Drosophila melanogaster: one gene and its partner. The protein of the gene in region 1 interacts with the protein of each later gene in a pairwise test. Each region holds a gene or a part of one and is shown in the gene's direction. Other genes may lie near its edges.

What was found.
Region 2: the proteins of CG16717 (region 1) and CG13097 interact in a two-hybrid assay, tested with the Drosophila melanogaster proteins (one large-scale study listed by BioGRID).

What each region holds. Positions count from the first base shown.
Region 1 is NT_037436.4:9,677,233-9,681,566, forward strand, and holds CG16717 (uncharacterized protein), read left to right. Parts: upstream 1-1,968; 5' UTR 1,969-2,234; intron 2,235-2,667; 5' UTR 2,668-2,675; coding exon 2,676-3,578; 3' UTR 3,579-3,828; downstream 3,829-4,334. Other genes in the region: fry (furry), read right to left, coding at 1,540-1,594; alphaTub67C (alpha-Tubulin at 67C), read left to right, coding at 4,182-4,184.
Region 2 is NT_033779.5:8,511,637-8,516,581, reverse strand, and holds CG13097 (uncharacterized protein), read left to right. Parts: upstream 1-1,713; 5' UTR 1,714-1,827; coding exon 1,828-1,922; intron 1,923-1,989; coding exon 1,990-3,736; intron 3,737-3,842; coding exon 3,843-3,989; 3' UTR 3,990-4,408; downstream 4,409-4,945. Other genes in the region: PIG-U (phosphatidylinositol glycan anchor biosynthesis class U), read right to left, coding at 1-220, 281-552, 615-1,239, 1,300-1,429; CG13096 (uncharacterized protein), read left to right, coding at 4,814-4,945.

The sequences.
Region 1 (4,334 bases):
GGATGGCTGGCGGAATTTTCTAATTTTGCCACACTGCGCTACAAAATCCGTTGGATAACTGCCAGGTGGTGCTGATGGTGGTAGCGATGGTAGTGGTGGTGCTGCTGCTGAAAGAGCAGCAAAACCAAATGGAAATAAAATCCCAACACACCCATTGTGACGCCAGACGTTTGTTTTGCTTTTCTTCCTCTTTCGGCGCTGAATGTCATTATCAAGGTTTATTTGGCACTCTGTTTTTCCCGCCTTTTTTTTTTTTTTTTGGTTGCGATTGTGAATGAAAAGCGTAGAAGTGAGTGGGCGGGTTTGTTTTTGGGGGAAATATTGAGATAGGGCCAAATCGGATCGCGTACCGGCTTAAATCGGCGGTAAATCAATCTCGGAATTGCTGTGTGCCAAATAAAAAGTAGAAGGAAAAAGGGAAAACGTTGAGACCATAAATTAAAGAAGACAAAGGATGAGATGTAAACTGCATTATGTCAACGGTGGGCAAAGACTTATTTGTTTCAGACAAATACTAGATTATTTATTGCACAGCTTGTGTTCATTACCTTTGGCATGCAAAAAAGCATAAGATAGTCATGCAATCATTTTTGCATATATCTTTAGTCATTAAATTTTAAACTTAGTTTTGTCGCAACTCTTTATATATGTATGCTTATATGTGTTCTCAAGTGCTTCTAATAAAACTAATGGTTCCCTAGCGACAAAGCCGCAAAGCAAGCATTTAAGTTTTTCGATTGAAGCCAGAAGCAAACATATGTATGTATGTATGTACGTATATTTGTAGCTTTATATTCCTTTGTTGCAAAATTTGCGATACCCAAGTGTAAACAAAGAACCCAAAATTAGAATGAAAATCCCACTTTGATCTAAATCAAGAGCAGAGGTAAATATTTTCATAGACGCCCAAACTTACCGGCGACTCTCTGTGAAGATATTGTACATACATATAAGCACTTAGAAGCCCTTAAGATAGAAGTTTTTCAAAGTAAACAAACCGTTTCCTGTGCACTAAGAACTTGCACCACTGTGGTACAGTGAATCAAAACCATAAATTGTTCAATTTGATTAGGTGTGCAAGTGCGAGCAGGAGAAAGAGAGTAGGCGAGAGAGAGAGAGAGAGAGAGAGAGATGACGAGTGCGTGTGGATGGCCGGCAATCAAAGTGAATCATCACTTAACAAATGAGGAAGACAAAGCAAACAAACAAATGGATAACGGATAAACAGATGCAGAAGAGGTGAAGTGTGTGAAGGTCCAAGTGGGAGGGGCGGGAGAGAACAAAGGAGGCGAGGCAGTGAGTGAAATGCAGTGAGATAACACACACACACACACAACAGCGCACACAGTCAAACAATTAGTGGGCGTGTGCAATTAGCAACAAAAGCATAAAACTAAGAACAAGTGCAGTTAATCGCAAGAGTTGCGCGATGCAAAAGGGAAAATCGAGAAAATCACGCAGAAGGCTCTTTAAATCCCATAAATAGCCACTTATGCAGCTGAAAACTAAGAAGAGACGACAAATTGCGAAATAACTCACCTGCAACACCTGCTTCCAAACCAAACAAATCGTCCTGCAGCTCTAATTGATCCATTGCAATCGAATACAATCCGTAATTAAAAATTGATGGCTAAAAACAATACGCGTCTGCAAAAGTTGCAGCTGCGGCCATTTTTTGCTTGCCCAGCCTGGAATTCCAGCTTTTAATCACGTTTCACTTTTTAAACACTCAAAGAACACTTCTATCATTCTTTGACACAAATGCACACGAAAAAAACACTATTTCCAATTTGATTTAGCCAATTTTAGGAACGTTTTTTACTGCAAATGTTGGACGAAAATTTACGCGTAGCGAAGAAGCAGAAAATTATAAAGCAGCTGATTTTTGTTTTGACCAGGGCTACGTTAGAAACTTGCCAATCGATAGGCGATTGTACGTTACGTTTTTCATTACGTTGCACTATCGGCGCTCAGCTGTTTTGCCCCGGCAATGACGTCACGCGTGAACACTCAATTTCTTGTATTTTGATTGGTATTATCAAATTAGTATATCGCATTTATCTGCAAATACTTGACTAAACATAAATAAACGCGCACTAATCAGGGCGCGACCATGTCGCCGGCGATTGCAACGTGTGCTTAAAGGCCTAACACAATGGCCTAAAACAATCAGAAGTCGGCGAGGCGCAAAGAAGCAAAAAAGGAAGAATCGCTTGGAAAGTTTATAACTAAAAGTAAGTAAAAGGAATTAACAGTATTAATTTGACAAATGAAGCTGTTACCTGTATTAGTTGTGACTTTTAACTCTACTCTTTAGATATAGTTACAAATGCTTCCTAAATTGGAACGTACGCCAATTATATTGGCTTAACTACAACACTCATTAAATCTTTTTCAAGTGCCTGTCCTTTTAACACAAATGTAATTGCATTGAATATTTTAATATATGAAATTTACGAATCACACGAAAAACCCATAATTCCCAGTACTTTAAAATTAAAGAACTGTCTTAGTAAGATAACATTCATGGCCACGTCTTATGTATAGCTCTTACTATCTTAAACAAAAGATTTAGTATCTGTGTTTAAATACCTCGCTGAATTATACGTAAACAAACCAGTTCTCCATAAGAAAATTCATAGTAATCCTCACACGCCACCATTGCAGATATCAAAATGGAAGTGCCAGTACATCCACTTAGCCAGGATCCCACGGCCGCTTGGAGGGAGATTAGCAAAACGCAGCGCGTGATCAAGGTGACAATGAAGCCACCGACCACCACGGTGGCGCCCAACAAGGCACGAGTGGTTTGCATGTCCGACACGCACTCCCTGACGCCCTACATCAAGTTCGATATACCAGATGGCGATATATTCATACATGCCGGCGATTTTACCAAGTGCGGCCAACTGGAGGAGGTGGAGGAGTTTAACACCTGGATTGGAGCACTGCCCCATCGCCACAAGATCGTGATTGCTGGCAATCATGAGCTCAGCTTCGATAGAACCTTCACCCATCCTTTCCAGAAGAGCAAAAGTCATGCTTCGAGCAGCAAACACACCGGCATGTCCATCCTCGATGATCTGCCCACTTTGGGCAACGCCAAGGAGAACTTGGAGAGCGCTGTGCAAACGCAGAATGTCCGCGATGTTCTGACCAACTGTCGGTATTTGGAGGATGAACTACTTGAGATTTGGGGTATTCAAATATATGGCTCGCCATGGCAACCGGAATTCTGTCGCTGGGCCTTTAATGTTCCACGTGGAACTGCCTGTTTGGATAAGTGGAATCAAATCCCGGAAGGCATCGATATCCTGGTCACCCACACGCCGCCCGTGGGTCACGGCGATCTCTGCTGTTCCGGCGTACGAGCCGGTTGTGTGGAGCTACTCAGCACAGTGCAGCAACGAGTGCGCCCGAAATACCATGTCTTCGGACATGTACACGAAGGCTACGGCATCACCAGCGATGGCAGGATCATCTTTGTGAATGCCTCAACGTGTGACATCAACTACCTACCCAACAATGCCCCCATCGTTTTCGATGTGACGCTGCCCCCCGGATTTCGCAAGGATTAGCATGCCTAGATGATTATTTATTGTGTCACAGGTTCAATGAATTTATTTTCGTCCCACTTTATGTTTATGTTAAGGTATTTCGTCTGTAAAGATTTTGAAGCACAATTGTAGGTGTCTAGAGAGATAGAATTCAATTCGCACGAAATTAAAAAAAGAAATTCACACTTAAGATGCCATAAAATATTTATTCAAGTAGAGTGCATTTGTCAATATATGAATTTGTAAAAATAAACAAGTTTTGAAGACACCTAAACTTTTGAAGATTTTCAATATGATATTATATAGTTTTTAATAATAATTTAAGTAAAGGTAAAGCAAATCCTGAGATACATACATACTATTTCAAATTAGTATCGATAAGCCGCCAGAAATGGGTTGGAAAAACCTTGGAATGATTATTGGTTAGCAGCCCTGTCTCCCAATTTGACATTCCTCTTTGGCGCTCTGTAACGGCGCTTTTCCAGTGACTCCCCAATCAGCGAACCAACTAACCTGAGGCTGCACTTTTCGCGTGGCGACCAAAAAAATTATAAAAAAAAGGTCCCGCATTAGATTTTAATTTGTATACACCCAATTTTAGTCCAGCAAAAAAAAACTAATAAAATGGTGAGAAGAAGAAAAACTAATTAGTTTAAGAATTGCTGAAAGCGGGAAGTGAAATTTAAAATCAGAAAAGATGTGTAAGAAGATGTGAAATGAAAAGGTGTGGGAAGTGAACATGAATAAATGTTCATTGAAAATGAACAGCTAATTGCG
Region 2 (4,945 bases), on another chromosome or scaffold:
ATCAGAATCTTCTGACCATTGAACAAGCAGAACTCACGTTTAACGTGCGCGAACAGCAGATCGGTGATTAGAAATATCTGCCCAGTGGAAAACGCAAGAGTGGCACCGAAATAGAAATTGGCATTTGCCGATCCTGCATAGATCCACAAATGCCAAAGGGCTCCCATCATAGATAGAGTGACCAGGAAGAACGTAAAGACCACAAAGCCATGGGCCATGACTGAAAGAAATTACCAAAGTGCTTAGCAGTTGAAATAACTACGTGAGCCAGATAACTTACATTTCCAACATCTTTTCCACAGCGGAAGCAAGGCCAGATAAAAGCCGACATCGCCCAGGCTGGGATACGCCCTAAAAACGGCCATAAGGGCCACCAATACCGTGGCTAGCAGTAGGGGCTCCTTGCGCAGCTTAATACTTAGTGGCACCAGGTATAATACGGTGGCATTCAATTGGAATGTGATTAGGAACATGGTGCGGAAGTGCTCAAACATTTCAGTAAAAAAGTACCAGAAGAGACCGATATTTGGCTGTAGATCGCGGAAATAAAATCTGTAAGATAGTTAAATACGTAAAAATACAAACAGATAACTAATAAGATAGTTCTTGCTTACATAAAACCCAACGTTCCATCCAGGAAGTTCCAGCTGTTCAGCACAAAATAGTTCGCAACTGCCACGATTAGACAACTGACGATAAAGAGCGCCGCTATAGCCACACCCCTCCTGACCGAATTCCGTGAAAAGACCAGGAGCAGTGGTGCTATAAGTACAATGGGATAGAAGCTGCGGACAGTTTCGAACGCGAGGACTAGAAGGCATGGAATGAGCATTCCCTTCACGAGGCAGTAGAAAAAGAAAGCCAGGAACAGATTGCTTATCACGGTGGAGGTCATTCCAATGCAGCTCATAACAGTCAGTGGACTGAAAAGATATGCCACGATCACAAGTTCCGGAATGTCAAGCTTGTCCAGCGGGCCAAACTGCAGCTCTTCCGTATCCTTGGCATACTCCTTTCGCTCCTTGTCCTGCTGATCCTGCTTTTGCTTGACGAATCTCAGACTCATCGCATAAAGCAGGGCCGCCGTGCAGATATCCAGGATTATGTAGAATATCGGCAGAAACTGCGGGTATTTTTGAAACAATCCGGAGAGCGCGCTGAGTATCAGCGGCGATTCGTGTACCAGGTCGCCCAGATAGGGATCAATGCCACTCTGTAGAAGAAATATCCCCTCTTGCACTGCAAGAATAACTCCATTCAGACTTGTTCATCTATTTGATGTCTACTTTGTTTACTTACTGCGCTTGTGTGAATTTAAAGGTGTCGCGAACTCCACTCGGTTGCCAATCATCGGAGCCAGCGGCGTGCGACAGAAGTAGAAGCGCACGGCGCCGCCCAGCAGGAGCAGTTTAAAGAACTTCGAATCCATCTTCTAGTTGGGCATAGTTTTTGTGAACGGACTCCGCCTGTAAAAAGCCGCCTACAGCTGGCTTGGTGGTGGCAAAGGCCTTCGATAAATTATCGATTTCCTTGTCACGATATACGGCTTCTGGTCTACTGTGTAAGCAATTATGATTTTTTTTAGAGCTTTGTTTTCTTCAAGTTAAATATATTTATTATTTTTGGAATAACAAATTTTGGCTCAAAACAGGATTCCAACTCGCATAAAGTTTTTAAGCTTGGAAAAACTTGTACTTGTATCACGCGCTCATCTCTATGTATCTGTTCCATCTCTCACCAACTGGTTGTTGTTTTTGGACCCGCTCTTGCGCTCGAATTGTTGGAATATATATTTCATTTAATTAAGCACAGAAAGCAGTAGTAAAAATGATTGGAAGTAAAAAATCCAAGGAGGCGAATGTCTTCAAGGAAATCGCAGAGAACTTCGAGCAGCTGACCAAGAATCCAGAGCGTTTTCTCCAGTTTGTTTTCCTTCCAAAGACCGCGCACGTGTTTTTTCAAACGTAGTCAAAACAATTTATATTTCAGGCCACAGCCGGAACAAGTGAATGCCATCGAGCAGCTTATCCAGCAGACATACGCCGTTAGCATCAGCGAGGATGTGGCGAACAAGAAGGAACTGCTGCCGGAATTGGTGCTGGAGCAAATGGACGAGGAGCAGATCTGGCAGCAACTGGAGATTCGCAACGAACTAGTGTTCCAACAGGTGCTGGAGCAAACCGCCAGGCTGACGGCGATGCGCGAGCAGCACCTGGGCATTGAACTGGACGATGGTGAAGAAATAGAGGAAGAAGACGAAGTAATACAAGCTGAAGACTCAGGCGATGAGGAACAAGATGAGGAATCAGACTTCAGCGACGAGGATGGAGGGCTACAAAAGCAGAAGACCGCGCCGCCGAAAGACAAACGAAACAAGCGACTACGCAACTCTGTGGTGGACGATACCTTCTTCAAGTTGGAAGAGATGAATGAGTTCCTGGAGCAGGAGGATGCCAAGGAGATGCGCCGCCTGAACAGCAAGAAACGCGTTGAGCAGGCCGATGATATAGATCATTTCGCAGAGGATTTTGGTCTTGGCGAAGATGAGGAGGACGATGAGGAGGGGAATGTCAACTATGCGGACTTCTTTGACATGAATGAGGAACTGACAGAGCATTCTAAAAAGATTAACAAAGGCAAGCAGAAAGATTTCTTCAATGAAAACGAGAGTGAAAATGAAAATGAACCGGATGAGGATGCAAATCCCAAAGAGGGCGATTCTGATCAAAGCGAAGGAGACGAGGGCGATGATGAACCTGAAAATGATCAAGATCCAGATGAGGCGGCCAGCGAAATAGATGAATCCGAATTCGTGGCAAAAAGTGGCATAGAACCTGCCAGCGATTCAGACTCGGATTCGGAGAAAGAAGAGGAGGAGCCACAACCCACAGAGCCACCGTCCCAATCATCCAATGAGATGAGAGAGGCTCGTTTGTTTCAACGCATCCGCGACTACGAAGACATTGTCCTAGGCGAGAAGCCTTGGCAGCTCAAAGGCGAAGTAAAGGCAGCCAATCGGCCCCAGAACTCACTGCTTGAGGAGATTCTCGACTTCGATTCGACCACCAGGCCAACGGCGCCAATCACGGAAGAGGATAACCGCTCCATCGAGGACATAATTAAGCAGCGTATTCGCGACAAAGCATGGGACGATGTGGAGCGCACTGTGCGACCGGTGAACACCCCGCAAGAGTACAGAAAACAACTTGTGCTTGACCAGGAGAAATCAAAACAATCGCTGTCGCAGATCTACGAGGCGCAGTATCAGCGCGAAATGGAAAAACTCGATCCCAATCGCGATGCCGATGACAAAACTGGTCCGGAACCGAAAGAACACCAAGAAATCAAGCGGGCAATGCGTTCCCTATTCCTTAAATTGGACGCCCTCTCCAATTTCCACTTCACGCCGAAACCGGTGGCGCCGGAGATCAAGATCGTAACGAACACACCAGCAGTTCACATGGAAGAGGTGGCCCCGCTGGCGGTGAGCGATGCCAAGCTGCTGGCACCCGAGGAGGTGTTCCGCGGACCCAAGCACGCTCCACTTGGCAAGACCGAACGCGATCGAACGGATAAGAACCGCGAGCGCCGCAAAAAGAAGCAAAAGCAGCGGGCCATCCACTCGGCTCTGGAGCAGCGCGAGCTTCAGCGAGCCAAGGAGGGCAAGGCGCCCACAAAGAAGGAAGCGGATGCCAAGCTGCTCAAGACAATCACCAAGAATCGCAATGTTCAAAAGGTATATAACATTTTAGTTTATCTCTGTTTTATGTTTTGTATTTAATTGCTATTCTTGAGCGATTTTGAATTCTAAATGAATCAAACTTTAAACGATTTTCTTGCAGATCAATGCCAGCAGCAACGACCAGGGAGCTCTGAAGTCCTCAAAGGCTTTCTTCCACAAACTGCAGGATACCGCAGCGGCTACAGCATCCAAAAAGCGACCGAAAAAGGATACCGCCAAGGCGGATGCCAAGAAGCTGAAGCTTTAAACGTACACGCTAGGACTCCTTCATATTGTAATTGCCTTAAGCCAGCAAAGTTTTCTCGTCTCCAGTCACGTGCCAGAAAGTTGTCACAAGCACACACGTATGCCCACATAGCAATCCTTGTTGCAAGAATATCTTTAGCATGTACTGTGTGTCTGGGGAGTCCCCAATTTGGTGCTCCATGGGAGATGCCATGTGTCGGTACTTTTAATGTTCCATGTGCGCGGATCCATCGTATGTGTATGTGATGCGTGGGCGCTTTGTGTGTGGCGGCGTGTGAGTCAAGGACATTCTGTGTCCTGTTGAGGCGATTAGGCACGCGTGCAGCTTGCGGAATTTGACTATTCTTAGAATTATTTACTTAAAATAACTGTTTGCTATGTAAATAGTACCCTAATTAAAGAAAGCAAAGCAAGTAACGTAGCCACTTGTTTTTTTGTTGGATTAGAGTAGAAATACTCAATCATATAATCATCATCATAATTTCTATATTACATTACAAAATTAAAAAATTTAATTTTATCTTCTAAGGGAGAAATAGAGATGGGATACAAATCGAAATCGATATGCTATAACGGTCAATTTTCCAATCGGTTTTGGTGAAACAGCTGCTATTGGTGCTCGGCCCTGCGAAGGGGGTGTGTATTGGCTAAAGTTGTGACCGTGCCTGAGACATCGGTAATGAAAATAGTTCCCGATATCGACTGTAGCTACGTTTTGCGATTCTGAACATATCGATATTAAAGCGTAGCACGTGTGGTTGTGGTGCATTTTAAATATAGTTTTGCTCGAGTTTTTACGCATCTGTCAAAAAAGCAAAAAATAATATGGTTAAAGTACAGAAACCGCAGCCCAAGTCGCTGAACAAGAGCGCCAGCATCGAGGGCGTGGTTAAGAAAAAGGGTAAACCGGAAAAGACCAAGAAACTGGCCACAGACGCTACTCTGGAGTTGGCCAGC